4 linked regions of the Tamandua tetradactyla genome follow. The protein of the gene in region 3 purifies or fractionates together with the protein of the main gene of each other region. This does not show direct contact. Links are inferred from orthologs where the notes say so. Each region holds a gene or a part of one and is shown on either strand. Other genes may lie near its edges. The genes, in order: POLR3C, POLR3K, POLR3H and POLR3GL.

Region 1 (6,835 bases), on a different chromosome or scaffold from region 3:
GCTCAGCAGGTAAGAGTGGTTGCCTGCCATGCCCTAGAACCCGGTTCAATTCCCGGTGCCTGCCCATGTTAAAAAAAAAAAAATCTCTTACTTTAAAATCCAAGTTTAGTACTCACCAAACTTTACTAAAATTATATTCACATTAATAGGAAAACATTTTTAGTACGAGAACTAAATTTCAAACTGGAGGATGGAACATCTGAAATCCGATAAGAAACAGAAACTACAGGGAAAAAAATGGAAAAATATGAGAAGGGACTCAGGGAACTGAATGATAATATGAAGAAGTAAATTCCAAAATCAATATTCCCTTCTAGGGACTCTTATTAGAGCTGACAGAAAACAGTACCATTGATACATTTAAATTTCACAATTCCCTTCATGATTTTCCCTAATTTCTTAATATCTCCTTTCTGAACAGAGGCTTTGTCCTCTTATTAGGAAGTATCCAAACCCAAGACACACGAAGCTGAGATGGATAGATCAGAACTAGTAGAAAGGCATGTTATTCCAACAAATTAAATTAATTTAACCATGCAGCTTAACCTCACAGCATTAGGCATAGAAGCTGTAATGAAAATTATTTTTCTTAATACAGAAATTAATTCTACAAAGTAATAGGACTAACAAGAAAAATGACAAACAAAAACCTAAAGGTAGATTCAGGTTTGAACCTTGGTTAAGCTGTTGCGATTGGCCACGCTCACTTCCAAATGTACCAAGAAATGACAGATTCCAAACACTGAGGGAGGTAAAAAAGGGAGGGAGCTGTGTACTTTTCCACCCAGTCTCAGTGAACAAGGGGAGACGGCAGGGGCCGAGATGGCGCCCCAGCAGGCACCCCACTGCGCGGGGAGGAAACCCACCCAGAAGTAGCTCATTAGAGGAGGTACAAATGCCCAGCCTCTGGCAGAGGAAGCGCTCCGGGTGATGCTGCTTCTTGTCACCCAACGGCTCCTACCCGCTTCAGATGCAAATTCAGTGAAGAGAGAGGAAAACGTTCTTCAAGGAGAGCTGGGTCTGGCCGGCCTCACACAGACCACAGGTTCCCGTAATGCACGTCCAGTTCCCCAAACATGCATGCCTAATGCAGGCTGGCTACTCACAGTGGGGGAATCTCAAATTCATATACACATATGAATACATATATGGATATATATATACACACGTTTTTTTTTTGTTTTTTTGGGCTACACATTAACTGAAGTAATCTCATAACAATCCTATTTACAATGGGTTCACATCACAGGAATGAATTAATATGAAGAACATGTTTGGAGGGTACATAACTTCAAGTCACACACCAATGAAGCTTACCTATATGACTCTATCCTCTATCTATGAAATAAACCCAAACAAAAACAAAGAAATCTATGTGAGAATGTTAACTTCAGCATATTTTTGAAATGGTCAAAAATTGAAAATAACCTCAATGTTTCTAGTAGGGACATAGCAATATATTATGGTTCTATCATATAGCGTTCTATGTGATCACTTACAAGAATGAGATCGTGTTCACCTATTAAGGAAAGTTCTCCAAGGTATATTAAGTAAATAACAAATTACCCCAAACAGTACCCAGAATATTATCTATAATATATGCTAGATTTAAATGATATATTTCATATAGAGATATACACATATATTTTCAAGTAATATTTCTTTCTACCAATTTTTTATTTAGATTGTTTTCTTTTTTTTATTAATTAAAAAAAAATTAACTAACACAACATTTAGAAATCATGCACATATGTTTTTAAACTTTTAAATGTTGAGTTTAGCCATGAAAATCAGGGCATTGACTTAGCAATGCTTGAGCTGGCTCTCCCTAGCAGAGACAGATTTGCACAGAACCAGCCACTTCATGGCCGGGTCATCCTTCTAACCAACTTCTCAAGATGACCATCTGGGCTTAAGGACACAGAGACGGCCAGGAAGCAAGATCAAACTCACTGGTTCATACACGAATCACGACTATAACCTTGACCTCAGGGCGCCTTTCCCTAGAAAAGCATAACAACGATATACTGCCTCTCCCCTCTTCCTCGACTCCCTCTTCCTTTTTCCACCTCACAGCCTAGGCTATTCTATCCCGTCTGAATTCACCCATCTCCTTCACAACCCAACTCACATGCCACACCTTCCTTGACCTCGCCAATGCTATCCTGTCCTCCTTTCTGCGAACATTACGGCATCTGTTACCCCATTCTCAGTCACCTTTGTTATTATGTTTTCCCTACCCATGCTGACTTTCCCACAAGATTGTGAGGTCCTTAGGGCAGGGACTGTAGATTCCTCCATGCCACCCCAGGACATGCCGCAGGAGGCCTTGTACGCATACAGCAATATTTATGATATTTAACTGTGTTCGGCTCAATTTCAGACAGGCATGACAGATACTAAATCAAAGTTAAAAGATCAAGAATTTCTCCTTCAGGCATTTAACAAGGCTTGAAAAATCACTTTTAAAATCCTCCAAATTACTGCTTTCTACAAGCACTTACGAGTGAAGACTTGAAGTGGTAAGAAGTGATAAGTTGTGAGAATTTGGACTAGATTTTCTCACTCTTAAAGGGAAGAGAGGGAACAATGACTTAAAACGTGGGAACAACGAGGCCGTAAAGTTCAGCAAAGCATCCTATCTGACAACAGGTCGAGGGTTCCCCGCATACTGGTGGATGCAGACTCCCCTCCACAGTGAAAGAGCTCTGCAAGTTCCAGCAGCACCGCTCTTCCCAGCTGAAACATGGAGAAAGGAAAACAAACAAAACCCACATGTATACAGCCAAATCACAGGCAAAGCTCAGCGTGCACATGCAGCACATGCGGCTTAATGGGTTAGCCGGACCCGAGCCCTAACCGCAGTCAGCCTCCAGGCCAGCGAACCCCGGGCCTGGACCAGAGGCAGCCCCCGCGACCCCCGAGGCCCGCTCTTCGCCGCGGGTCCCCGCAGCAGCTTTTCCGGGCAGGCGCCAGGGCAGCTGGCCGCCGCGGGGACGCCTCCTCCCGGCGCACACCCACCCCGGGGGCCAGAGCCTCGCGGGCCCCACGCGCCGACAGCGCCGTCTTCCGGGGAGCGGGCAGGGGCGCGCCGAGGACGCCGCAGGGGCCCCACGGGCCGAGCTGCAGCGCGGCCCCCGGTCACTCCGCTCAAGCGGGCGGGAGCGCGCGGCCGCCGTCGGGGCGCTGCGGTCCTCGGGCCCCTCGGCCACCAGGGCCCCCTGAGTCCCTGCTCACAGCCTATCCTTCAATTCCCTGAGTCCCTGCTCGTCCCGGGTGCGGCCTCCCCCCGGCGGGTGCGGGACGCAGCGGCACGTGGACAAGAAGCCAGGAGCGCGGCGGGCGGGAGCCGACAGGGCCGAGCGCGGCGCGAAGGTCATCGCGGGAGGAGAGGCGGCGACGCGCGCCCAGAGCCTGCGGAGGAGGACGCCGCCTCGGGGCCCCGCGGGAAGGCCGGGCGGGCGGGGCCGGGGTCGGGCTCTTACCGGCAGTTTAGGGCTGACCTCGCCCTTGCAGAAGTGGCAGAAAAACCGGTGCGCGGCTACGGCGGCGCCTGCGCCCGCCCCGGCCGCCGAGGCCTCCGCCATCTGTCCTCTTCCCCGCGGCCGTCCGAAGGGCAGCGGGCCCGTCCCTCCCCAGCCGCTATCTCCAGCCGCGGCCGCCGTCTCCTCAGGGCGCTGGGCGACCCAGCCACGGCGGTCACGTGAGCCCGCCAGGCCGCGGCCTCCCAGCACCAACGAGACACCGGGAGGAGAGTCCTCAACCGAGGCCCGCCCCCAGCACCAACGAGACGCAGGGAGGAGCGTCCTCAGCGAGGCCCGCCCCCGACATCGACGAGATGCCGCCAAGAGCGTCCTCGGCCGAGGCCCGCCCCCAGCACCAACGAGGCGCCGGCTGGAGAGTCCTCAGCCGAGACCCCACCCCCCAGCACCAACGAGACGCAGGGAGGACCGTCCTCAGCCGCGGCCCGCCCGCCGCCTTAGCCGGCCTCTTTTCCAACGAGAAGAAAGGAAGAGCGTCCCCGGAAACCGCAAAGCTGCGGGTAGAGCGGACGGCGCTTTTACACCGGGCGGGTTGGTTGTTTTGCAGGAAGGGCCGGAGGCCCCGATTTTCCTGGGCTCAGTCGCGTGAAGAGGTGGAGGGTTACTCGTCGCCGTCCCTAGGTGGGCGCCCCTGGACTGCAGCGACCCCGAGGTTAGTGGAACCAGGGCCCCGCGGGAAAGAGTGGAGGGTCCGGGTGGGACCCCTCCGCGGCCTCTCCGTGGGGTGCAGGGCCCGGGCGGGACCCCCCCGCGGCCTCTCCGTGGGGTGCAGGGCCCGGGCGGGACCCCTCCGCGGCCTCTCCGTGGGGTGCAGGGCCCGGGCGGGACCCCTCCGCGGCCTCTCCGTGGGGTGCAGGGCCCGGGCGGGACCCCCCCGCGGCCTCTCCGTGGGGTGCAGGGCCCGGGCGGGACCCCTCCGCGGCCTCTCCGTGGGGTGCAGGGCCCGGGCGGGACCCCTCCGCGGCCTCTCCGTGGGGTGCAGGCTTCGGGTGGGACCCCCCCCGCGGCCTCTCCGTGGGGTGCAGGGCCCGGGCGGGACCCCTCCGCGGCCTCTCCGTGGGGTGCAGGGCCCGGGCGGGACCCCTCCGCGGCCTCTCCGTGGGGTGCAGGGCCCGGGCGGGACCCCTCCGCGGCCTCTCCGTGGGGTGCAGGCTTCGGGTGGGACCCCTCCGCGGCCTCTCCGTGGGGTGCAGGGTTCGGGTGGGACCCCTCCGCGGCCTCTCCGTGGGGTGCAGGCTTCGGGTGGGACCCCCCCGCGGCCTCTCCGTGGGGTGCAGGGCCCGGGCGGGACCCCCCCGCGGCCTCTCCGTGGGGTGCAGGGCCCGGGGCCCCCAAACCTGCGCACCCTGTGGCGGCCGTGTCCGGTGACGCCGAGGCTGCGGGGCAGAGACTCCGCTTGCGAAGAATGTGGAGGAATCGGTGTAAACCAGCGTTTGGTGCAGAGTGTGGCACGAGGGAGTGACCACGTAATCGATCAGTTGTGCTTGTGTTTATTTTCTCAGGGAATAGAATTTGCGGAATTATCCTATTTGAAATACCACGTTGAGAAGCTCTCCTTTACCTTCTAATTGCGTCTTCTACACTGGCAGGTCTTTCATGGAGTGGGAATGATCCTGCCTGTTCACCGCGTGTGTCGTGAACACTGGTCTTAATTTTTCCAAGCAATGAAGTAAAGAATCTGAGGTCTGTGACGCGTCACAAAACTTTATATAATTAAAAAGAGTTAGAACCATGCGTAATCCCAAAAAGATAGGTTTGATGTATAGTCTTCCTGTCTTTTCCTTTTTCCTGTGCATACGTTTTTCTTTTTGTTTTTAAAGCAATTGAACTTTTTATTAGTAAAACTGTAGGTTTAGAGAAAAGTCTTGCATAAAATGCCGAGCTCCCATATACCCACCCTCCAGTTAGTAACACCTTGTATTAATGTGGTTCCTTTGTTACAACTGATGAAAAAATATTATGATTATACTACTAACTATTGCCCATGGTTTATATTAGGGTTCATTGTGTTGTGCAGTCCTATCTTATTGTGGTTTTTTTTAAAAAAATTTTGTTCTAGTAACTTACAGACAATCTAAAATTTCCTCTTTTGAACACATTCTTATATATAATTCGGTGCCGTTAATTCCATTCACAATGCTGTGCTTCCATGACCACCATCCGTTACCAAAACTTTTCCATCACCCACGTAGGAACACTGTCCAACTTAGACATTAAGTTCCCTCCCCCTAGCTTATCCCTGGTAACTTAAATCCTAGTTTCTGATTCTGTGAATTTGCTTATTTTGACTTTCATATTAGTGAGATCATGTAATATTTGTACTTTGTTATCTAGCTTATTTCACTCTTGAGTTTTTAATAGACATTTTGTTTTGTAACTAGCTCTTTTGACTTAATGCATTATAGCCAATTTTATATGCTAATCAATATTGTACTATATCATCTTAAATGTTATAGTATTCCATTGTATGGGTAGACCCTAGTTTATTGAACAAATGCCTTACTAGACATTAGGTTGTTCAGTTTTTCACTGAATAAAGAAACGTACAGTGACATCTTTTTATAGTACGCAGAGTGAAACTGTCAGGTTGAAGGTGTGCCAGAATGTAAGGCTTTTGCTGGATTTTACCAAATTGCCCTCCAGAAAGAGTACACGAATTTATACTCAGTGGCTCTACTCCCAATAGGAAAGAAAAACTTTCTGTGCTACTATCATTAATTGTGTTCTCCCCCCCCCCCTTACTTTCTAGTTTTGAAATCTCCCCGTTACAATGACTCAAGCAGAAATTAATCTGTGCTCTTTGTTGCTGCAAGAGCACTTTGGAGAGATAGTAGAAAAAATTGGAGTCCATCTAATCAGAACTGGCAGTCAGCCACTAAGAGCAATTGCCCATGACACAGGAACATCGCTGGATCAGGTCTGTTTAGATGGCATTAATTTGCTCTTCTCTAACCTACCTTAAAATATTCTTCCCCAACCCAGAAAATGAAAAAGCTTGCCCTGGAATCAGTGCAGCTTTTTTTTTATTTGTGGGAAAGAGGGTGGGACTTAGGCACCAAACTTCTCTTCTTAGGGAATTCCTAGTTCATTGTGTCTTCCTAGGCAAACCCTTCACCTTCCCTTGCCAACCTCATGTACTCAGGACGGTTTTGTTCATCTCAGTACTACTTTTAAGGAATGAGGATGATAGAGGGAAAGAAAAGTGCTTTGAAGGATAAGGCTCAGAGGACAGATGAGCATCATAGCGAGGAATTTTTCCGGATTTCTTTCCTTGACATGTGATTCTTGTTAAC
Region 2 (7,946 bases), on a different chromosome or scaffold from region 3:
TCTCAGCAGCACTCACGGACCCAAATGCCAAAGCCCTGGGCTTCACCCAGGCTGGCCCCCTGTGCCTGAGCAGGTGAGCTTTGCACTCGGGAGGCCACGCAGCACTGTTGCAGTTTGACAGATGGGCCAACTGGGGCTCAGGGCGCAGTGGCCTGCTTGAAGCACTGGGAGGCCTGTGAACCTGCCCCCTAACTTTGTTCCCTGCTCCAAGCATGGTTTGGGGCCCAAGGCTGGGGACAGCCCTGACCCACCTCATCCCCACCTGCGACCCAGATCTGCACCAAAAGCAGCGCCGGAAACCACACCAACCACCCGCACATGGACTGCGCCATCACAGGCCGGCCCTGCTGCATCGGCACCAAGGGCAGGTGTGTGGTGCACATGCACAAGTGGGCCCTGGGCTCAGAGCATGGCCTTGGGGCTGGGCCCTCCCTCACTCACCTGAAATTCAGGCAGGATTCCAAGGGGACCTGGGCGAAGCTGGAGGGTGGGACGGGAGCAGGCCCCCTCTGCACAGTGACACCCTCTACTGCGGCCTGACTTTCCAGGTGTGAGATCACCTCCCGGGAGTACTGTGACTTCATGAGGGGCTACTTCCACGAGGAGGCCACACTCTGCTCTCAGGTAGGCCTCAGGTGGGTGGGCGGGGGTGCCCCTTCCCCACTCCAACACTGATGGCTGCTCTGGGCAGGTCCACTGCATGGACGACGTGTGTGGGCTCCTACCCTTCCTCAACCCTGAAGTGCCCGACCAGTTCTACCGCCTGTGGCTGTCACTATTCCTGCACGCTGGGCAAGTGCTGCCGTCGGGCTGGGCAGGGCTGGACAAGTGGGACCAGGGGCTGGGATGGGGCCAAGGTGGCCCGGACACCCTCCCTGCTGAGTGCCTCGCTCCTGCCCGCAGGGTCCTGCACTGCCTGGTTTCCATCTGCTTCCAGATGACCATCCTGCGGGACTTGGAGAAGCTGGCAGGCTGGCACCGCATCTCCATCATCTACCTGCTAAGTGGCATCACTGGCAACCTGGCCAGTGCCATCTTCCTGCCATACCGGGCCGAGGTGAGCTGTCCCCTCAGGGCGGGGACCCTCTGCTGGGCTCTGCAGTCCTGCTGTGCTTCGGGCCATGTGAGGTGGCGCTTGAGATGAGGCCCGGGGCACAGGGCATCTGCTCAGCTGGGATGGGCCCGGGAATGCCACAGCCAGCTCATGGCCGCCCTGCTCTCCCAGGTGGGCCCAGCGGGCTCGCAGTTCGGCATCCTGGCCTGCCTCTTCGTAGAGCTCTTCCAGAGCTGGCAGATCTTGGCGCGGCCCTGGCGTGCCTTCTTCAAGCTGCTGGCCGTGGTACTCTCGCTCTTTACCTTTGGGCTGCTGCCTTGGATCGATAACTTTGCCCACATCTCAGGCTTTGTCAGCGGCCTCTTCCTCTCCTTCGCCTTCCTGCCCTACATCAGCTTCGGCAAATTCGATCTGTACCGTAAGCGCTGCCAGATCATCGTGTTCCAGGTGGTCTTTGTGGGCCTCCTGGCCGGCCTGGTGGTCCTTTTCTATGTCTACCCTGTCCGCTGCGAGTGGTGCGAGCTCCTCACCTGCATCCCCTTCACCGACAAGTTCTGTGAAAAGTACGAGCTGGATGCGCAGCTCCACTGAGCCAGGCTGCAGGCTGGCCTCCCAGCAGGCCGGAGACAGGAGGCACGCACGCCCCAGCTGTGCAGGCTGTGGACCTGCTGCCTCCGAGCCGGACTCGATGTTCTCCACACACACACCTCGGTGCCTTGTTTAACCCCTCGTGCTATTGGGGTTTATTACCAGTTCTTGCAACTACCTTTTAACTAGTCTCTTGACGACCACCTCATGTGGCCAATAAATGGACTGGGAGCGTTTTAGCTGCCACTAACTTACTATGAATTGTCTCTTCCTTTCTGGTTTCTGGCTGGGCAGCCAGTGAGGTTCCCCAGCCTCCAGGGCCCTCGCCTCCAATGTCCAGTTCCCCAGGACAGGCTCTCCCAGTGAGGTCACAGTGAGGTGAGGGTGGAGCAGGACTGCAGGGACCCGCTGGCATGCCCTCGCCCTGCGGGGGCGCTGCCCCACCTCCCTGCATGTCCAGCTGCTCGTTTCACCACCACCCCTCCACTGAGTCTGAGACTGCTGCTGGGAAAGCCTGTGGGGTTTCTGTGGCTGTATGCCCCACACTACCACTGTGGTCACCAGGACCCAGCCCTTACTCCCCCACTAGCTCAGACAGATGGTACCCGTCTTCTGTTCCCTCCCCACCACACAGGCAACGGGAACAGGGCTATATGGTCGGGGGAACAGGTGTGCAGTCTTGGGCCTCACCCCTCCTCATTCCCAGTCCCTCCTGCTTAAGGTACAGTTGCCTTTTTGAATTTTCAAACTAAAAAGCAGATTTATTTTGTATACAAAGCTGGGCCCACAGGCTTCTAGGATCCACCAGGCCATCGGGATGTCTGGGCCCAGGGAGGGGTCAGCTTGGCCAACCCAAGCAGGAGAGGAGTGCCTGGGCCTGGGCCTGAGCTGCCCATCCCAGAGGGCCCTGCTGACAGCCCCATGGGGGAGGGGGAGGAGGCAGAACCCACCTGGGGTGATGCCACCTCAACCTGCCTCTGAAAATGGACGGTGACTTAAGGGCTCTTTCCTGCAGAAAAAGCCTGGCCACCAGTGAACAAAGCTGCCCTAGTCCAGTGGTTCATTTTTGCCTCAGCTTTTTGATGAAGGAGACCTCATCCCGGTTCCGGATACCATAACTGAAAGAGAAGGAAAGAGGGCCGTGTTGGACCTACACAAAACTCCTCAGGGGCTCCCACCTGAGCTCCTGAGAGGCTCATCTAGGACAGTCCACATGTCCGTCCTCCCGCAGCCCCACTCTTCTCCATGCACATGCAGCCCCCCAGCACGCACTCCTCATGCTGGTGAGATCTGCAGTGCACTCAAATCTGCTCCTCTGCCTGTCCTCCACAACGCGGGAGGGCTAAGACCCAGCTCCCTGGAAGCACCCCAGGACTTCTGCTGACCCCACAGGACTTCTTGGGAAGGCAACAGCACCCACGTGCTCTTGGCTCTCCCCTAGGAGGGGTCCTGGAGGCAAGAACCAATCTTCCCAGTGGTGAAGATGCAGCCTGAACTTACTCTCGGAGCTTCTTCCTGTCCTCTGTGAGCTTCTCCCCTGCGGACGTCAAGTGGTACGTCCTCCACACGTAGGACCTGCGGGAGGGACGCAGGTGAATGCCTGCTGCCTCAGCCCTTTGGGACCCGCAGCGGCCTGCCTCTCCTTCTGTGCTATTCCTGCACCACGTGCGCCCCTCCAAGTAGCTCCAAGGAGGTGCTGCTCTCAAAAGACCAAACACCCTCGGCTGCAGAACCAGGCAAGGAAGGGAGGGGCTGCCAGCAGACAGCAGCACCACCAGGAGCCCAGATGAGGATGGCGCAGATGAGGAAGAACTGCCCGAGCTTCTTGGGGCAGGGAGTGCGTCCCTCGCCGCTTTACAGCAGCAGTGCTCACTTGGAGCTGGAGCTACTTCCCCGCCGGCCCACGCCTGCCTCCGAAAGGCTGCCCAGGAGCCACCACCCCACCTACCAGCTGATGTGCTGGATGCCGCCGTCCCGCTCCTGCTTGAGCTGCACGTATCTCTGGATGGCCTTCTTCAAGTCCAGGACCGTGGCGTTCTGCACGACGACCACAGCTGCCACCGGGGACACAAACGGGAGACCGTGGTGGGGACCGACTGTCAGAGCCCACATGCCCTGCCCACCCCTGCTAACAACAAGGCATCCATGCACCACACGTTGTCTCGCCACCTGGCCCTGTGAGGACGGGCCACTTACGCATGACTTCTCCATCCATCTTGCACACACGGACTGTCATTGCCTGTCCATATTCTAGTGCTATCTGGGAATTGACCTCTTCCAAAGTGACCTAGAAAAGACCAAGGGGTGTGTGGGGCCCAGCGCTCCTTCATTACCCCAAACAGCATGAAGGAGAACAAGCTGGCCGTGTCCACACAGTGGTCACCACGTTTTATGAAGGGTAGGGAGGGAAAGGGGGTCTTGCCTGTAAACTAGATTTCCCGCTTACTCGTGTTCCACCCACACATTTACGTTCAAGTTTCAGACTGGACAGAAGCGGTGGGCGTGGGGTGGGGGCCAGGAGTACAGACACAGGAGGATGCGCCCACTCCGGGTCCAGGCCTTTGCTTCCTACAGCCTAAAGGCTGGGCAGGAGAGGACGCCGGGCTGGTCGCTCCACCCGGAGGGCCCTCGGTCACCAGACAGGGCCAGCGTGCGAAGGGTAAGGGGCACCGGCACGCGCACGACCCGAGACGACGGGAGTGTAAATGCACCACTCATGGAGAAGTCAGCTCTGGACTTGTTTGTGCTTAAAGCCTGCCCACCGCGAAGGTTTTCTGTGCACTAACTGCGGCTTTTAAACCTGCTGCGACCGCGCGCCGCGAGCGCCGCCGAGACCCGCGCCCGGGGCCTCCGCCAGCGCGGGCACCTGGGCCCGCCCGCGCACCTGGATGGGGAGGTCGCACAGCAGCGGGTCCTGCACCACCATGGCGAGGCCCTCCTGGAACACGTCCACCGCCTCCGAGTGCGGCAGCGCCTCCTCCTCGTCCTCCTCGTCCTCCGGCGCCAGTGGGCGCGCCCCGACCCCCGCCTCGGCCAGGGCGGCGGGTGCTGGGAGCCGCTCCCGCAGGCTCGCGCGAGGGTGGCAGAGTGCGCACGCGCCGGGACCGCAGCGCGCAGAGCGAGGGAGGCAGGTCATTGGTGCATCTGGAAGACGGGCGGTCATCATAACCAATGACAACCGCAGGACAGTTTGCTGCCCGTCCCACAGGGCGCACGTAAGCGGCGTGTCTATTGGTGAGTTGAAGGACAGGCGGCTGCCAAGGCCAATGAAAGCTCGAGGCCTCGGCACCGACGGGTCCCGGAAGCTGGGGCCGTGGAGACTGCCGGGAGTCGCCGCCATGTTGCTTTTCTGTCCGGGTTGCGGGAACGGGCTGATTGTGGAGGAGGGTCAGCGCTGCCACCGCTTCGCCTGCAACACTTGCCCGTACGTGCACAACATCACCCGCAAGGTGAGTCCCGCAGGCCCGCCGCGCCACGGACACCGGCTTGGTCCCCGCCACCCCCCGTCAGCCCACAGCGCCCTTCCTCCGCTCTCCCCCAGCTTTGGGACTCCCGCGGCCTCCAGCCGCCTCGTACCCCAGGGCCGCCCCCAGGGGCGGGCGCAGCCGCGGCGGTACCCCGACCTTGCTCGCTCGTGCGGCCGCTGCGACGCGGGCCTCCTGGAGGACCCCCACCGCGCCGGGCCTTTGCCCGCTTCCCTCTCCCTGAGGAAGCGCCCTGCAGCTCCCCCGTTATGTCCTCCTCCCGTTTTATTTTTTTCCCCTAGGACTCACCTGCTAACATCCCATATAATTTTTTAAAATTTATTTATTTATTAATTTAAAAAAATTAACAAAAACAACATATTATTCCGTTCTACATATATAATCAGTAATTCACAATATCATCACATAGTTGCATATTATCATGATCATTTCTTGGAACATTTGCATCTATTCAGAAAAAGAAGTAAAACGAAAACAGGAAAAAAAATTTATGCATACCATACCCCTTACCCCTCCCTTTCATTGTTCACTAGTATTTCAAACAATCAATTTTAACATTTGTTCCCCCTATTGTTTATTTTTATTCCATATGTTCTACTCGTTTGTTGACAAGGTAGATAAAAGGAGCATCAGACACAAGGTTTTCACAATCACACAGTCCCATTGTGACAGCTGTATCATTATTCAATCATCCTCAAGAAACATGGCTACTGGAACACAGCTCTACATTTTCAGGCAGTTCCCTCTAGCCTCTCCATTACATCTCGGATAACAAGGTGATATCTACTTAATGCGTAAGAATAACCTCCAGGATAACCTCTCAACTCTGTTTGGAATCTCTCAGCCACTGACACTTTGTCTCATTTCGCTCTTCCCCCTTTTGGTCGAGAAGGTTTTCTCAATCCCTTGATGCTGAGTCTCAGCTCATTGGAGGCTTTTTTTTTTACTTTTTATTTTTCTCCTCTCTCTCTCCTTTTGTTTTAAAATTCTATAATATAACATATTTGTTGTATTTGGTTTGTAGTGTTTTATTGTGTTTTACATTTCATTAATAACATGATGTTGAGGTGACGTGAGGTACCCATTAGCTCTTTTGCCCATTTTGTAATATGCCCATTTTGTTTTCTTATTGTTGAGTTTTCAACACCTTTACTTTTTAGAGTAGAGCACGTTCGTGCTATCTCATTTTCCTTTTTTTCTTTTAAACAGATAAATACATAATTTATCGTTGTCTTCATTTCCATTAGAATACATTCCTGGCATTTGCACCTCTACCATTTCTAGAAGTGGGTATTCTATTTACGTGTAGGTTTCACCTCTTAGAGGTTAGAAATTTAAGAATAATTATTAATGCGATAATTTACTTAGGTACTGATTTTCCCTGAGCACAGGATTAAATATCCCAAACTAAATTTATAACAACATTTTGTTGCGGCTTCATATTTTACTTTCTTCTTTTAGTGAAACCTGGACTTTAAGATGTGATCTTAGAATCTGCAAGTACTGAAGCATAGTTGGATTGAAAATGAACTTCAAGCCATTTTACTGTATAATCAAGACACATCATCCCATCTAAGTCTTTACTTGATCTAAAGTCCTGATATTGATAAGCTTTCGTCTATTACTAATATCCCTTCTCATTAGTAAAATAAAGTGTTATCCGAGCAGATTATCTTAAGTTAAATGCATTTTAAGTTTCTCTAATTTTTTTCTTATCAGCTCTTAGTAATAATTTTTGCTTCCTGTAGGAGGGAGAGTCCTGGAGTGGTTTATTCAGTATACACTGTTATTAATTAATTAGCTCTGTAAACTTCATCAGTTAATTAAGTTCACCTTTCAGAACTTCCTGTTTCTGATCTATAATGTGAGGAGAGTCCTTAAGGTCTCTTCTAGTTCTAACATAAAATTATAAAGACCCAAATTATGTAAATTTGTACATTTATAAATTTCCTTTTAAAACATTTTCAACACAGCCTTATAAAACATGACACAATTTGTTACAAAATTGTGAAGCACTACAAATTACTTTCTTTGGAGTCTTACTGATAAAGTCAGTAAATACACTTATTTTATAAAGGCTTTTTCAAATGTATTGAAATAAAGCCGAAAACCAAGACACTGTAATTGATTATAATAAATATTGTTGCTAGGGACTATATAGATTTTTGCTGCTTAAGACATCTCTCATCACAAAATGATATAAAACCAGTGTTTTTATTAAATATGTAAACTTATCTGAAATTTATTTAGTATCTGATGCTTGTGAAAAATTCCTTTTAAATACATTTAATTTCAGTGGGAGAAAATAGAGAATCTTGATTTTCTTGACATCGTTGGTTATCTCATTCTTCTTAATGTTTGCAAACTACTTAACCATAAGCAATAGAGTCCAAAACTCGTGTAAACCCGAAGTTCCAAGGATGTCTGATAAAAGCCAAGCATAGACTGCTTCGGAAACTCTGTGCAGGGAGTGACCAGTTTACCCCACTAAGTGGTGCTCTTTGTTTTTGAAGTTTGGTTGTATTTGTTGCTCTCATTTTGAGTTATACCCTGGAGGGGTGGGAGAGGAGGAAGGCCTGTCTGAAGCCATTCTTTCTTCTGCTCTGTGCCTCTCTAATCCATACAGAGCTCTCCTCTACCTGTTGACTCCCACTCCTTGGCTCGGGGTGTGCCCTGATCACAGATTCTCTGAGTTCCAATGTGGTGCCAGGGACTGGTCTGTGAGAGCAGGAACTTTTATCTTCTGACTGTTGAAGGGAGGAAGTCTGGGAAGACACGAGGGCGCTTGTGGTTTGGTGCCCAGGGTTTATACCGTTCAC
Region 3 (7,268 bases):
CCAGGGAAGCCACTGAAGAAATCTGGAGACAAAGACAGCAGAGATCATCACCACCTGTCTTTCCAGCTAAGAGAGAAACCCTGAACATCATCCGCCTTCTTGAGCCAAGGTATCTTTCCCCGGATGCCTTAATTTGGACATTTTCATGGCATTAGAACTGTAAATTCCCCCTTTTTTAAAAAGCCATTCCAGGGGCACAGGTAGTAGAATACCCGCTTGCCATATGGGAGACCTGGGTTCAATTCCCAGCCCATGCACTTCCCCCTTATCCCCCCCAACAAATCAACAAATGGCACTGCAATAACAGGATAGTTATTGGAAAAAGAATGAAAAGATATATGGAAAAAGAATGAAATGTGACCCCCAACATACAGCATACCAAAAAAAAAAAGGCATTCTATTTCTGGTATATTGCACCCCAGCAGCTTACAAACTAAAACACCATGTATGTCTCACATGCTATTAACTAATAATTGTCAATTAATGATAATTACTCTTACTAGTAAGGGTGGGCAGAAGACAGATTCCTGGCTACACCTACACTTCCCAATGTCCCCAAAGCCAGGCAGAGCCTCACAGCCCAGCGAATTTCAGAACTGCAGCTAATCTCTGTTCTGTCCACAGTCTTGGGCCCACAGATATGGCCACATGGACTGAAGGCTGGCAGAGAACAGGGTGACAAGACAGATCCAGGAACAATCCCAGCTCCACTGCTCACTGTTTGACCTCCAAAAGGGTCACTTCACCTTTCTGAGCCTCAGTTTCCCCATCTGTAAAAATGGAACTACCAGGCTTCCATTGGGGTGGGGGTGCCCATCCCACCCCGATGACTAGCCACTCAGTGCCTGCTTCCCTTCACCAGCACCGTGTCAACCCCATCAGAGTTTTTGTAGGGATGCTCAGGGATTAGCAAGGCACTTGGGGAACTCAGCTAGGTGGGCAGACCTCTCCACCATAAGGACGCAGAGTGCACGGGCTTTGGAAGCACATGGAGATCTGTGCCCTAGCTTGTGGAACCTCTTCTGGGAGGCCTCCTCCGATTATGCAAATACAGAAAAATTTGTCTCTCACCTTTCACCAAATGTTGAAGGAGCCATGCCCCAAAGGGATGAGGTTCCCTTCTTGGACTTTCTCCCTCCATGATGCTCACACCTCGACCCCCCCACAGGTCCCCTCACCTTCTTCGTCACAAAGGAAACAGAAGCCATCCACTAAGTTCTCAAGAGTCCTCCCCACCTCCTAACAGCCCCCCACATCTGCACACACCCCTCCTGTGTCCTCAGCCTCTACTAAAGGGTCCTGCCTCCTGTCTAAAGTCTATAGTTCTCTTCTTTCTTTTCTCCACTGCCTTCCACTGCTCTGCAGGTTAAAAACAACATCCTGGGCGGGCCAGGTGGCTTAGCAGGTAGAGTCCTCACCTGCCATGCCGGAGACCTGGGTTGGATTCCCAATGCCTGCCCATGCAAAAAAATAAAAAATTAAAAAATAAAAACAATATCCTGATGGTGTGTTCTGCATCCTGTAAACTTGTTCCTGCCTGCCTCGCCACCCCACCCCCACTTCCCTTCTGCCCAAGCTGCACCAGCTTCTGCCATGCAATGCTAGGAACTATATTCCCTCCTGCCACAGGGCCTCTGCACATGCTTTTTCCACTGCCTGCACAGCTCTTTTCCCTGACCAGGCCCCTACTGCCCCCAAGACAAATCCCCTAATTAGGCCACCCCCTCACCATCAGATCTCAGTCCCAGCACCATCTCCTCAACAAAGCAGCAGTCACCCTCACTCCAAGTGAATTCCTGTGTTTCAGAGGCTTGTGGGCAAGTGTCTTTGTCTTCACCTCAACACACATTCATCTGTGAGACCCTCTCATTCATGTCTGCTTCCCCCACCAGACCATATGGCAGAACCCTGTCTGCTTCATTCATTCAATCAACAATCTGGAATGCCTACTCTGTGCCAGGTTCTCACTAGGTGCAGGGAAGAAGACAGAAAAGGTCTCAACACTCATGGGAAGGAAAAGAGAAAAAAAATAACCAAATAAATAAAGAAAGAAGAAAATAACAATGTGGTAAGTGCTAAGAAGGAAAGAGGGTGCTGACACAGAAGAACTAAGGTGGGGGGCTACTCCAGAAAAGGCAGAGGGCACTAAGATAAATGGGCCTAGTACACAGAAGGTGTGCAAATCCTTGCTGCAGGAGGGAATGGATACACCTGTTACCTCTATGATACACAAAAACAATGTGACTCTTGGTAAGATAACCCTTATTATCTCCATTTTACAAATGGACACTAAGGCCCAGAGAAGGTAAGTGACTTGCCCAAAGTTGCAAAGTAAGTTGGAAGCGTGGAATCCAGCACCTTCCAGTTTCAAAGCCCTTTTTCAAACCCATTTTCTCTTTGGTCCCCTCCAACTCCCCTGTGCAGTAAGGATGACCCCATCCCTTTTTACAGACAAAGAAACCCGGGCTCAGAGACGTCCAGCTCTTTGCCCAATGCCGACCTTGGGCATGATCTAGCCCGGGAAGTGCTGGGCCCTCCCGTGCACAGACCTGCCCGCGACCCCGCTGGCCCAGCACCTTGTTAGCCAACTTCTTGTTCAGCTCCTCGGCGATGGAGTCGTTGAGCTTCCTCTCAAACTGCCATGGAGGGGTCCGCACGGTGTCCACCATCTCCACCAGGACGAACATCCCGGCCACCGCTGGGGGCCCTGGGAACGGCGGGGTCGATCATGCACGGGGACCTTGAGGAGGTGGGGACCCCCGAGGTCGCTCCGATCCTTCCCAATAGCTGAGACGATCTCCCCACTCCCAGGCCGGCAAGGTGGCCCGAAGGGTTGGTCAGGCTCCGCTCCCGCAATGCGAGGAAACTGAGGCCCAGCGGAAGGGCCGCACCTGGCGGCCCGCGCTCGGATCACACGACCCCCGCCACCACCACGCACCGCAAACACGCACCGCGCAACCCGCGGCCGCTCCGCTGGGCTCAAGAACCCGAATCTGGTTCCTTCCGGAGAGCAGACCAATAGGAAGCGTCTGCCCGCCCGCACCCGGGGCGGGGCTACCTACAGGCTGCGTGCGCTGGACGGGGCGGGGCTTGGGCCGGGGGCGTGGTGTGAGCGGCACCTCCCCTTCAGTCCGCTGGGAGCTGGGAACCCTCAGACCCCGGTTTCTGGTTCCGAGGCGACCTCCGGGCTCCCCGATCGCTTCTCCTCCCGCCTGCGATGTGCCGCACCCTCCCGGGCGGTCTCAAACTGTCTTCTGCATTGCGGCCAGAGTGATCCTTACAAAACGCAAACATAATATGCTTGAAACCTTCAGTGCTCTGGGGATGAGAATTGATTGCGAAGGGGCACCACGGACCTTTGTGGGAAGATGGAAATGTTTTTCGTCGGGTTTTAGGTGGTGCTTACACAGATGCACACAACTGTCAAAACTCATGGTACTCAACCAATGAGATATCTGCATTGTAGTGTAGATAAATTTTATCTCAATTTTAAAGTGGCAATACAAATGTCCATCAACAGATGGATGGATAAACAAAAATGTAGTATATCCATGCAATGGAATATTATTCAGTTGTAAAAAAATGAATGAAATTCTGATACATGAGACAATATGGATGAACCTTGAAGACATCATGTTGAGTGAAATAAGCCAGACAAGTATTGCAAGATTAATTAGAATATGCAAATTCATAGAGACAAAGTACAGTAGGGTCAAAGTGGAGTGGGGAGTTAATGCTTAATGGGTACAAAGTTGCTGTTTGGAGTGATAGAAAAGTTATGGTGATCAATGGCTGTAAGGGTAGTACGACATTGTGAATGTAATTAATAGCTCTGAATTTATACTTGAAAGTGGTTAAAATAGAAAATTTTATGTTATATATATATGTTACCACAATAAAAAAAATAGATGATAATAAATTGGGGGAAAACAACTGCAGCAGCTTCCCTCTGAATTTGGAATAAAGTCCAAGGCCTTTAGGGTGGCTCACAACTTTTGGCAGGATTCTGCCCTACCTGCTATGCGATTTCCATCTTATCTCCCCTCTCCATTCCAATCTCATTCATTTTCATCACGATAACTAACATGGGCTAATGGAATTCAGGAACTTGTCCAGGATCATGGGCTGCCAAGTAGAAGGGGTAGGCTTCCATCTAAACCTCTGTACCACTCTGCCTCTAAAAGTTAGAAATGTACAACTTGGTGGGGTGTGCAACTAAACTGAAGTGTGTTTTGACTAAAACAACAATTTGAGAACTTAAAGAAATCCTTGAGACAGACGGCCAGCATTCTGAAATGCACAGTGCTTAAATTTGCTGATTTCGCAAGCATAGAGATCTCTCTGACTATGAGACTGGCTGTGATGATACCGAATTTGGCCTTCCCTGCATGTGCATATTTTTATTTATAGGTTATCCTACCTCTGCTGGGATTTGAGCTTCTTGAGGGCAGGAGCAAATGTTACTTGAGCTCTTTGTTCCCACAAGCCCCCAACATCATTCCTCAGAGGTATTCAGCAAAGGTGTTTAAGAGATCAATATTAATTTTTCTCTCAAATGCCCCCCTTTATTCCATTCCCATTGCTACACCTTAGTTCAGGCTTTTTCATTTCTCTGTTGGAGTTTAGCCACACCTCCTGGCCTCCCAACCTCAATCTCTCCTGCAAGCCACCTCCATATCTTCACAAAAGTCTTCATTTCATGACTCTTTAGCCTGCACAAAAAGGTCTCGACTTATCCAGCCCTCCCGTCTAAGCCTGCCTCCCCTCTGTCCTCCAGGCACCAGAATGGAGCCCCATGAATGGAACAGGCCCTTTTATAGATATATCCTGTATGCCTCTTCTCCACCTGGAAAACTCTTACTCATTCATCAGCACCCAAATGTGATGCTTTTCCCAGTCACTCATTCATTCATTCAACATACAGTGTGCCCAGCCATTGGGGATCCAATAAGGGAAGAGAGGCCGGACCCTCAGATCAGAGTTGGGGATGGGGTGGGGACAGGGAACAGATGCAGAGAGAACATCTGGTGCTCTCAGGGAACGAAAAGTAATTCAGCTGTGTGCTGGTTTGAAAGGATATATGCCCCCTAAGGAAAGTCATGTTTTGATATAAATCCCATTTCATAAAGGTAGAATAATCTCTATTCAATACTGTATGTTCGAAACTGTAACGAGATCATCTCCCTGGATGATGTGATTTAGTCAAGAGTGGTTGTTAAATCGGATTAGGTGACGACATGTCTCCAGCCATTTGGGTGGGTCTTGATTGGTTTATTGGAGTCCTATGAAAGAGGAAATATTTTGGAGAATGAGCGTGAGAGAGAGCAGAATGATGTAGCCATGAGATGCAGAGAGTCCACGAGCCAGCAACCTTTGGAGATGAAGAAGGAAAACGCCTCCTGGGGAGCTTCATGGAACCAGAAGCCAGGAGAGAAAACTAGCAGATGACGACACCATGTTCGCCATGTGCCCTTCCAGCTGAGAGAGAAGCCCTGACAGTGTTCGCCATGTGCCTTCTCACTTGAGAGAGAAACCCTGAACTTCATCGGCCTTCTTGAACCAAGGTATCTTTCCCTGGATGCCTTAGATTGGACATTTCTATAGACTTGTTTTAATGGGGACATTTTCTCAGCCTTAGAACTGTAAACCAGCAACTCATTAAATTCCCCCTTTTAAAGGCCATTCCGTTTCTGGTATATTGCATTCTGGCAGCTAGCAAACTAGAACAAGCTGATTAACACATGAGATGAGAACTGATGAGCAGTGAGGCTGGAAACCTAGCCTTATCACTATAATATTTACTGCTACCATTTATGGGGCACTTACTATATGCTAAGCACTGTTCTATGTGCTTTACAGGTATTAACTTATTTAATCTTCACACTGGCCCTATGAGGTAGAGGCTTTTATCCCATTTACAGGGCAAGAATCTAAGGCAAAGAGAGGTAAAGTCGCTCGTTCACGGTCACCCGGATACTAAGTGGCAGAGCTAGGATGCAGGCTCCAGAGCCCTAACCAATGGCCTGTGCCACCATGACGTACACTATCCAGAGGGTAGCCATGGGAAGCCCTGGAAAGTTCAAACAGGAAAATGACACTGGAAAGCCGGAGGGGGAGTGGATGGGAGGGGGCTGGGTGGAGACAGGAAGGCCAGGGAGGAAGCTATTATGTGGCCTTGGCAAAAGGAGGCCTGCACAAGACTGGTGGCCGTGGAGAGTGAGGTGCTGGGCAGAGTCCAGAGGTATTCAGTGGGTGTCAGCCCCTGGGTGGATGACCTGGGGGAGGGAAGGGGGAGGAGCCTCTGGCCGGCTGGTGGCCATTCAACTGAGTGGGAAACTGGAGGAGGGCCAGGCTGGGGGAGGCGGTGGGGGGTGGGGCATGCCTTGAAGAGCGTTTTGGATTTCCAGGCATCTCTCAGGGTATTCAGCTCACAAGACGGCAACAGTGATTTGTTGGCACAATTGGTTCACTCACTGGTGAAAACAAGGACCAGACCTCATTTATTCTCCACGTCATCTCTGCAGGGTTTGAGGTGGTTTACAAAATACAGTGGCCTACAGGCTCCACGATAACAAGGACTTCTCTGTCATGTCCCCTCCATCTCTGCGGGGCTTGTGAATACGTGTTATTTGAACGCACAAAGGGATAACAAAATAATTGCCAAGGCCGTCGGAATAAGAGAGGAAAAAGGGTTGGAAGCTAATCAAGGCAGGAAGAGGAAGGAATGAGGGAAGGGGTCAAGGACAGTGACCTGGAGTTCCCACGCCACGGCCACACAACCTGGGAAAAGTCAGTGAACCCTTCAGTGCCTCCGCTGCCTCTCAGAAAAATGGAGAGGACAGCAGAACCCATCTCAAATGACAGTCTACCAGTAGAGAACTGGTTGAAAAAAAATATGGTCTGTCATATGATGGAATACTGTGGAGTCAGGAAAAAGAGTGAGAATATTCTTCGCATGACATTGAATGCTATTCAGAGCATATTAAGTGTAAAAATGCCAGGAGCAGAATAGAGTGTCTGTGACTCTACCATTTGTGTAAAAAAAGGGAGGAAAATCATAGTTTATATACAGAAGTCTTGGTTTCTGCAGAAAATAGCACAGGGAGGATACACTAGGAACTGATTACATTGGTTGGCATCAGGGACAGAAACTTAATGAGGGGGAGGAGAGGGTGGGAGGGAGAATTTTGTACCAAATACCCTTTGTCGCCTTTAATGTTTGGGATAATGGGAATATATTATCTACTCCAAAAAAAAATTAAATTATC
Region 4 (7,550 bases), on a different chromosome or scaffold from region 3:
ACTTTGGTATGTGCCACACATCCATAACCTAGTCCTCGGAACTGCGAGTGTGACCTCCGGCAGCAAGGACTTTGAGGGTTGATTAAATTAAGGACTTGAAATGGTGAGATTATCCTGGGGGTCTGAGTGGGCCCTGAATGCAGACACAAGTATCCTAACAGGGAAGGAGAGGCAAGTGGCCACAGAGGGCAGCGCCGCAGTCACAAGCCGAGGAGTCCCAGCAGCCGCCAGGATCCGAAGAGGTTAGAGCAGGTTTCCCCAGAGCCCCTGGGGAAAGCATGGCCGGCACCCTGAGTGTGGTCCACATGCACTGATTTCAAACGTCTGGCCTCCAGAACTCTGGGAGAATAAATTGCTGTCATTTTAAGCCACCAAGTCTGTGACAGCTTGCTATAGCAGCCATGGGAAACTAATATAGGGGACAACACAGTTTCCCAAACTGGAAATATTCAGACCAATCATTTTAACCCCACGGTCACTTTCAGGCGAAGCTGCCTGTAATTCTGAGGAGAAAGGACAACAAAGCAGAAAATACCATTCAAGTGACACTTGTTCAACCTAGAAAAGTAGCGGGGCACAACCTCTAATCACGTAGCCATACTATAACATAAAGAGAGGGCAATAATTCAAAAAATCAGGCTTGAAGAGAGCAATGCAGCAGTTACACAGCAAGGAAAGTGACTTGGCCATTCAGTCAGTTATGCTGGTTTGGGGATTGCTAGCTGTCAGGCATTGCAAGAAGGTGGCTCTATGTCATGTGGAAAAGGGGGGACAAAGGAGGCAGAGTGTTAGCAATACCTGTCGTGTGCAGAGTCTTCAAACAACTTCCAGATGCATAATGACAGCAACCACTCACTGGGTACCACGTGGATTGGGAACTTTATATTCGCTGTCTTGTTCAATCCACACAGAGCCATCAAGACAGGTATGACGATGCTCATTTACAGAGAGTAAAAAGGATCACACCACAGTGGCAGAACCAGGGTTTAGAACCAATGTTTGTTTGGCTTCAAAGTCAACCCACTTTCTGTTGTACTCTCCTGCTTTACTACACCATTCATCCTCACACTTGTTTGGAAAGTGGATGTGAGTTCCACGAGACTAAGGACTGAGAAGCTGTCTTGTTCACCACTGCGTCTGCTGAGCAATAAATACTTGTTGAATGAATGAATGAAACTATGGGGTCTTGAGAGATTAAGCAAGATCACACAGCCAGAACTGATCAGGATCCTACAGCATACTGGGCTGTGCGTGTATCTTTGGAAGTGGATAGGTAATAAAAGGACAAACAGCTGAAATTCCAGAAGAGTTTTTGAAGAAACGCTGAGATCCTAGAAGAATGGGGTAAAGGGTGAGTGTGAAGAAGATGGAGGGTGTGCACTGAAGACGGTGCAGGAAAACACTGCTGGTCCAAGAAACGGTCTGGGCAAAGGCCAAAATATGCTGTACTCAGGAGAGCAGAGCCAGCCCCCAAACACCAAATGCCATCAGTCACATGGGCGTGTGGGACATGCCAACGGCAGCTTTGCCTATTCATTGGAGCAGAATAAGTGATTCCATGTGGGGATGGACTTCTAAGCCAAATCAGCAGAGATTCGCTTGCCTGAAGTTTAACTATCTGCCAAACTCTTCCAAAGTACTGGCTGGATATCCAGACTGGAAACGGGAAGCGAGCATCATGGGAGGGCCTGCGGTGGGAGGTGGGGGGCTGGAGGAGGGGTCTCCACACAGCCTACAGCGCGACTGACTGCTCGATGTCAGCACAACTCCCTTGTTCCCCATCCTTTCTAGGGAAATGAAAAAAGTGTCCAGATTAGAGGCTTTCCAGGTAACACAACTAAGAAAGGATACATTGTAGACTTTTAATAAATGCCTTATCTTCCCCAGAGGAAGTGGTCAGATGTCAGACTGCCAGTCCTGGCCATGCCCATACCCAGAACCAGAGGCTGTCCCTTGGCCTCCACCTATAGATCTGAAGCAGGACACAGTGGATGGCAGTTCCATCACATTGTCCTCTAAAAACCAGAAACTAAAGTAGAAAAAGAACTCTATCCCCTCACGGTGAGTTCCAAAAGCACATCCACTGCATCCCCAGTACCTTGCAGCGTGCCTGCCCCATGGTAGAAATTCAAAGTACATGAAAAATGAAGGAAAATGATCATAAATGAATCACTGGACATATAAATAGCAAAATGGACCTAAAATTTTGTTTTCATACAAATCTTTGAGTTTACACTGTACAGATTTAGAGTGGGAGGAAATGAGATATGTTCTTCCCAAGAAAATATAAACCAATATATTTTAGATATTAATAATAGTTATCATTTAGTAAGTACCCATTATGTGTCATTTAATCCAAATCATAACCCTTGAAGAAACTGAAGCTCAGTGAAATTGAGTCACTTCACCAAGAACACAGGATGGCAAAGATGTAATCTGGGACTGAATCCAGACCTGCCTGACTCCAAAACCCGTGCCCCTTTAGCTGGGCTTTCTCAGACAAAACAAGTGGTCACCATCTAAGGACAGCCCTGCAGTGTCTCTGCATTATTGTTAAACCAGAAAGCCAAAGGCGTTGTCATTTCCAGGCCGAGCAGACAGAAGTGATGTCTTAAAATTCCAGACCTAAAAGCTGCCTTCCTCACCCCTCAGCAGATAGTCCTTGTCCGTTACACTAAATCTGAAACTTCAGCTCAGAAAGAAACTGGTTAAATAAAAACCACAGAGAAAATCCTCCCATCCCCCTTGCCAGAAACCGTACAAATGAGGCATCTCTAAGATGAAGATTTCTAATGGAAATAGAGTTTCTGCCTGGCTCATCTCCACAGAAGTGAGCACTCGGGGCGCCCGGGCCTGGGCTTTATGCTCAGTTCCTGGGCAAGGGCCAGGACCGCGGGGCCCGCCGGCCGGAGGCCAGGGGCGCGGCCGGGCGCGCAGACACTTGGCTGGGGTGGGCGCCACGCCGGGGGCCCAGATTTGGAGGCGCAGCTACCGAGTGGCGCGCGCAGGCGCCAGGTTGTCCTGAAGTTGTGCAGGAAGTTGCCGAGGGAAGTAGGAAAAGCACTGGAAAGTCAAGGTTAAGGAGAGAGTGACGGAGCGGGGGGCTTGGGGAATCGCTGGGCTCGCTGGGGACAGTCCGCGAGGACACGACTGAGAAAAGTCCGGGATCGAAGATAAGGCTGAGCGGCCCAGACCACGGGCCTGGCCCTCGACGGGGAGGGGTGCTGAGACAGCACTTTACACAAGCCCCACTTCACAAGGGGGAGGGCCGGGGAAGAAAAGACGGCCGGGGCGCGGGGGCGCGGGGCCGCAGGGGAAGGAGGGGGCCGCTCGGTAAAGGGGTGCACGAGTGCGCGCTGGCCGCCCCAAAGGAGCCCCCGACGGCCACGCCGCGGGGCGCGGGCGGGGGGCGGGGGGCGCTGCCGGGGCGAGGGCCTGCACTCACCTCGCCCGTAGCCCTGCGTGTGCTTGGCGAAGCTCCTCACCACCGCCTCCACCGCTTCGCGCAGCACCGCGGGGCCGCCGGCCGCTCCCGGAGGCAAGGGCAGCCCGGGGGCCGCGGGCGGCGGCGCGGGGGGCGGCGGCGCGGGTGGGGGGCCCCCAGGAGGCGTGGCGGCCGCGGCCCCCGTCACTCCGGGCCGCAGAGCTCGCAGAGCGCCGCGCCCGCCGGGCCCCACTCCGGGCTGCAGGCGCTGGGCGCGCATCGTCTCCATCCGCCGCGGCGGGAGCGGCGGCCCGGAGTCCGGCGAGGGGACTGCCCAGCGGCCCGGCCAGCTCCAGGGGCGGAGGGCGGGGCCGGGCGGCAGCAGCCTGGCGGGGGTGGGGAGAAGCCAGGCCGCACGCCAGTCATCAGGGAGAGGGCGGGGAGAAGCCGGGCCGCACGCCAGTCATCAGGAAGAGGGCGGGGAGAAGCCGGGCCGCACGCCAGTCATCAGGGAGAGGGCGGGGAGAAGCCGGGCCGCACGCCAGTCATCAGGAAGAGGGCGGGGAGAAGCCGGGCCGCACGCCAGTCAGCAGGGAGGGGGCGGGGAGAAGCCGGGCCGCACGCCAGTCACCAGGGAGGGGGCGGGGAGAAGCCGGGCCGCACGCCAGTCATCAGGGAGGGGGCGGGGAGAAGCCGGGCCGCACGCCAGTCACCAGGGAGGGGGCGGGGAGAAGCCGGGCCGCACGCCAGTCATCAGGGAGGGGGCGGGGAGAAGCCGGGCCGCACGCCAGTCATCAGGAAGAGGGCGGGGAGAAGCCGGGCCGCACGCCAGTCATCAGGGAGGGGGCGGGGAGAAGCCGGGCCGCACGCCAGTCACCAGGGAGAGGGCGGGGAGAAGCCGGGCCGCACGCCAGTCATCAGGGAGGGGGCGGGGAGAAGCCGGGCCGCACGCCAGTCATCAGGGAGGGGGCGGGGAGAAGCCGGGCCACACGCCAGTCACCAGGGAGAGGGCGGGGAGAAGCCGGGCCGCACGCCAGTCACCAGGGAGGGGGCGGGGAGAAGCCAGGCCGCACGCCAGTCATCAGGAGGGGCGGGGGCTGCCGGATCCAGGCCAGCCATAGGCGAGTTACCGCGGAAGGCGGAGGGTCTTCGCGGCCAATCGCAGAGGGGAAGCTGCATCCTCTTCAAGGGAGAAGCGGGACTTGGGCCGGTCTTTGGGGATCCCGTGGTGAGTACGAGAAAGCGGGCCAGACCCCTGGGGTGGAGCTTAGAGAAAAAGTAGGAGTCGATACAAGGCTGGGGAGAACTGTAGACAGAGTGAGAGGATTCTTAAAAGTAATTGCCCGACTACTTCATTTGACAGCTGTAGATGAAGAAACTGGCTCAGAGAAGTGGTGTGTAAGATCACACGCAATTGATGGTAGAGACAAAGCAAGGAAAGATACTGACAATGAGCTGACTCTTAAGCTCTACGTCAGGCACTAGGCGATGGGCTTTACTGCATTGTCTTATTTAATAATCTCAATCACTAATTCAGTTTTGTTTTATGGACAAGTAAACTGACGTTCAGAGAGACTATATAAATTGCCCTATATCAAATAGCTAGGAAATGGCAAAGCGAGATTCAGACCGATAGGTCTTCTGACTCCCAGTATTTTGATATTTTCACTACACCACATTGTTCAGTGACTTTCTCATTTGACCTAAATTGGAGGAGAGAGTAAAAGTAGGATGGGCAACAACCTTCACCTCCCAGTAGAGTGAAAAGAGAATATATGTAAAAACCCAGCCAACTGAGAGGATAGATTAGCGCAGTGACCCTGTTCATAGGCCCTCCAAGGCTGGGCTTCTTCGGTTACTCCTACACACTCCCTGCACACCCAGTGTCAGTTGACCATCATGTCATGTTTACACAGGTGAAATTATTCTAGGTACTCCTCTCCACCCCACCCCCACCTCCCTTATTCTCTTTCTCACTGTGCCCTACAGTGACTCAGAAATCAATAATGGGGAAAAAGAGGCCAGAAGTAGAAGAAAATGAATAAGAGATACCCCCAAGGAAAAGCACGGAGTGATCAAGAAATAGGAAGCTTGGAAGAGGGACATTTAATCTAATGAAATGTGTCTGTTGAGGGCAGAGCTGTAGGGATCTAAGTTAAAGAGCTTGGGAAGGGATGTGGGAGAGAATGGGGGGAAGAAAACCCAGTTAAATGACTTAAAGCCTTCAGAACACTTACTTTTCCTTCTACAAACACGGTTGGTCATGTGGCCCCCTAGAAAGTAGGTGGCTGGAACTTCTAAATATCTCCTGGATCATTATAGCTTTGGTCAGCATCACCCTCCCTCCCCACCATTTCTCATATCCCATGTTTACCACTCCCAGGCAGAAGAGTGACAAAGCAGAGACTTCTGAACACTTTTATTTGATATGTCAAGTGGAGAGAGAAGTGATTTAGGATTGCCCCCCACTTCACCTGTGGGGGTGTTCATAAGCTCAGACAAAAACAGAAGAGCAGCTAAGGGCTCAACCTGCCCTTTGGGAAAACGAGACAACCTGCTGTGGTGTATTAGTTGGGGGAACAGGGCAGGCATGAAAAGCATGGAGTTGAGAAGGGAAGCTGAGAGCAGGAAGAGCATCAGCAGAAGTGAGGTTGGGAGTTACCACAGGAAACCTCCAAGAAGAATGAAGAAGATAATCCTCAAAAGCGGATGGGGCTGGACGCAGTGTGTGAACAGGGAGCCCACCCTGGAAAAGCAAGGCCTGCAGAGCAGGGTGGGGCAGTTGTGAAGAGGGGAGTGTGTGTAAAGTCATGATGGCGCCTGTGTTACAGGGCACACGTGGAAAGCAGGGGGTTGCCATTTAGGGGACGTTTTCAGCAGGAGGGCAAATACAGCAAGGACTACCCATAGGCAGGACCTCCCTACTGCTTCTGACAAATGCGAGCGAGTTTGGGGTCCGTGTGGAGTCCTCGCACAAGTGGCCCTGTGTGTTTATTGGTTTGCCATGCCTCTGGGCACACAAGTGATTTCATATAGGTGTGAAGTGAGCAGGGCATGAAGGCATGGGTCTATAGGCCCAGTAAATAGAGATTACCCTTTCCTACAAATAGTACTGTGCTTGTGAACACGTTTACCCACGTGTGCGTGCAGCGTGCCCATGAGCACATGCAAGTGACCCTGTGCAATGCGTGCGAGCTGTTCCCCCATCTAGTCCTCAGGCCCTGACCCCCAGCCTCCCGGCTCCTCTCCCGTGTCTCAGCGCCCCGGCTCCCCCGGCCCACCGAGACTCTGGAAGCCCCCTAGCAGGCGGATCTGCTCAGTTTGCATGGAGTGGCGCCGCACCAACTTGCGCTTGGCCCTGGGAGAGCCTGGCACCCCCGCGTGGGGAGGGGCGGGCAGCGAAGGCGCCCGACCTCCGGGCTGGGGGCGGATGTCGGGAATGGGGGGGTGGGGGCTAACGTTGAGAGGCGGTAGGAAGCCAGGCCGAGTTTGCGCGATGTGGTCCAGGAGCAAGGTCCCTGAGCCCCTCCGCTCCAGCAGCCCGGGGCTCCGCCTCCGGCCGCTCAGCGGGGATACAGCCCCGGGCAGACTCTCCTGGGACTGGCGCGGGGAGGGGGCCGAGGCAGCGGGCGGGAGGGTCAGTGGGGAGGCGCTGTATCTGCGGCGCTCCAGGGACGGGCGGCCGCACTCGGGCGAGTCGGGGCACAGATGTCCGGGGCCGTCGAGCTCCACTGGCTCCATGCGGCTCAGTTTCTGCCTCAGCCCTGCAGGGGGGCAGGGCTCCTGCGCCTCCGGCGCCGTGTTGCGCCGGGAGAGGGGCCCCCCGCCCGCCACCTTCTCCGCCCACGGAGGCGGGTCCTCTGGGCCCTCGGTGCTGTGACGGCGGGAGAGGCGGGGGCGGCCGGTCAGGCTGAGGCCGTTGAACTCGGCCGTCAGGCGCTCTAGCCCGGGCCTCGCCTCGGCTGGCGGAGCCGGTTGAGGGGGGGCCACGAGGCCCCAGGGCTCAGAGTTGAGCCTTTTCAGTGGTTTTGGGGGGTGGCGGGGTGGCTTGGGAAGTGGCTCGGAAGGGGAGGGGTCATCGGGGGGCTTGGGGAGCGGGAATTCAAAGACGTCCCGCCTCTCCTCC

What was found.
Region 1: the proteins of POLR3H (region 3) and POLR3C purify together in Homo sapiens (affinity purification with mass spectrometry; 5 studies listed by BioGRID and IntAct, with this or other methods). This does not show direct contact. The link is inferred for Tamandua tetradactyla from reciprocal best matches to the Homo sapiens genes POLR3H and POLR3C.
Region 2: the proteins of POLR3H (region 3) and POLR3K purify together in Homo sapiens (affinity purification with mass spectrometry; 3 studies listed by BioGRID and IntAct, with this or other methods). This does not show direct contact. The link is inferred for Tamandua tetradactyla from reciprocal best matches to the Homo sapiens genes POLR3H and POLR3K.
Region 4: the proteins of POLR3H (region 3) and POLR3GL purify together in Homo sapiens (co-immunoprecipitation; 4 studies listed by BioGRID and IntAct, counting the BioPlex papers as one, with this or other methods). This does not show direct contact. The link is inferred for Tamandua tetradactyla from reciprocal best matches to the Homo sapiens genes POLR3H and POLR3GL.

Annotation. Positions count from the first base shown.
Region 1 is NC_135330.1:1,319,317-1,326,151, forward strand, and holds the start of POLR3C (DNA-directed RNA polymerase III subunit RPC3), read left to right. Parts: upstream 1-3,835; 5' UTR 3,836-4,194; intron 4,195-5,044; exon of another isoform or gene 5,045-5,131; 5' UTR 5,132-5,225; intron 5,226-6,291; 5' UTR 6,292-6,312; coding exon 6,313-6,459; intron 6,460-6,835. Other genes in the region: E3 ubiquitin-protein ligase RNF115, read right to left, coding at 3,486-3,587. UniProt on the Homo sapiens protein: DNA-dependent RNA polymerase catalyzes the transcription of DNA into RNA using the four ribonucleoside triphosphates as substrates.
Region 2 is NC_135349.1:57,276,706-57,284,651, forward strand, and holds the start of POLR3K (DNA-directed RNA polymerase III subunit RPC10), read left to right. Parts: upstream 1-4,980; coding exon 4,981-5,091; intron 5,092-7,946. Other genes in the region: RHBDF1 (inactive rhomboid protein 1), read left to right, coding at 274-368, 549-624, 692-792, 904-1,057, 1,226-1,645; SNRNP25 (U11/U12 small nuclear ribonucleoprotein 25 kDa protein), read right to left, coding at 2,703-2,760, 3,143-3,217, 3,591-3,696, 3,839-3,929, 4,527-4,568. UniProt on the Homo sapiens protein: Core component of RNA polymerase III (Pol III) which synthesizes small non-coding RNAs using the four ribonucleoside triphosphates as substrates. Can mediate Pol I proofreading of the nascent RNA transcript.
Region 3 is NC_135333.1:34,706,191-34,713,458, forward strand, and holds the start of POLR3H (DNA-directed RNA polymerase III subunit RPC8), read right to left. Parts: upstream 3,017-7,268; 5' UTR 2,952-3,016; exon of another isoform or gene 2,708-2,951; 5' UTR 2,688-2,707; coding exon 2,577-2,687; intron 1-2,576.
Region 4 is NC_135330.1:1,432,057-1,439,606, forward strand, and holds the start of POLR3GL (DNA-directed RNA polymerase III subunit RPC7-like), read left to right. Parts: upstream 1-4,540; 5' UTR 4,541-4,652; intron 4,653-5,836; exon of another isoform or gene 5,837-6,679; coding exon of another isoform or gene 6,680-7,550. Other genes in the region: LIX1L (LIX1-like protein), read right to left, coding at 3,446-3,713; ANKRD34A (ankyrin repeat domain-containing protein 34A), read right to left, coding at 6,680-7,550. UniProt on the Homo sapiens protein: DNA-dependent RNA polymerase catalyzes the transcription of DNA into RNA using the four ribonucleoside triphosphates as substrates. Specific peripheric component of RNA polymerase III which synthesizes small RNAs, such as 5S rRNA and tRNAs.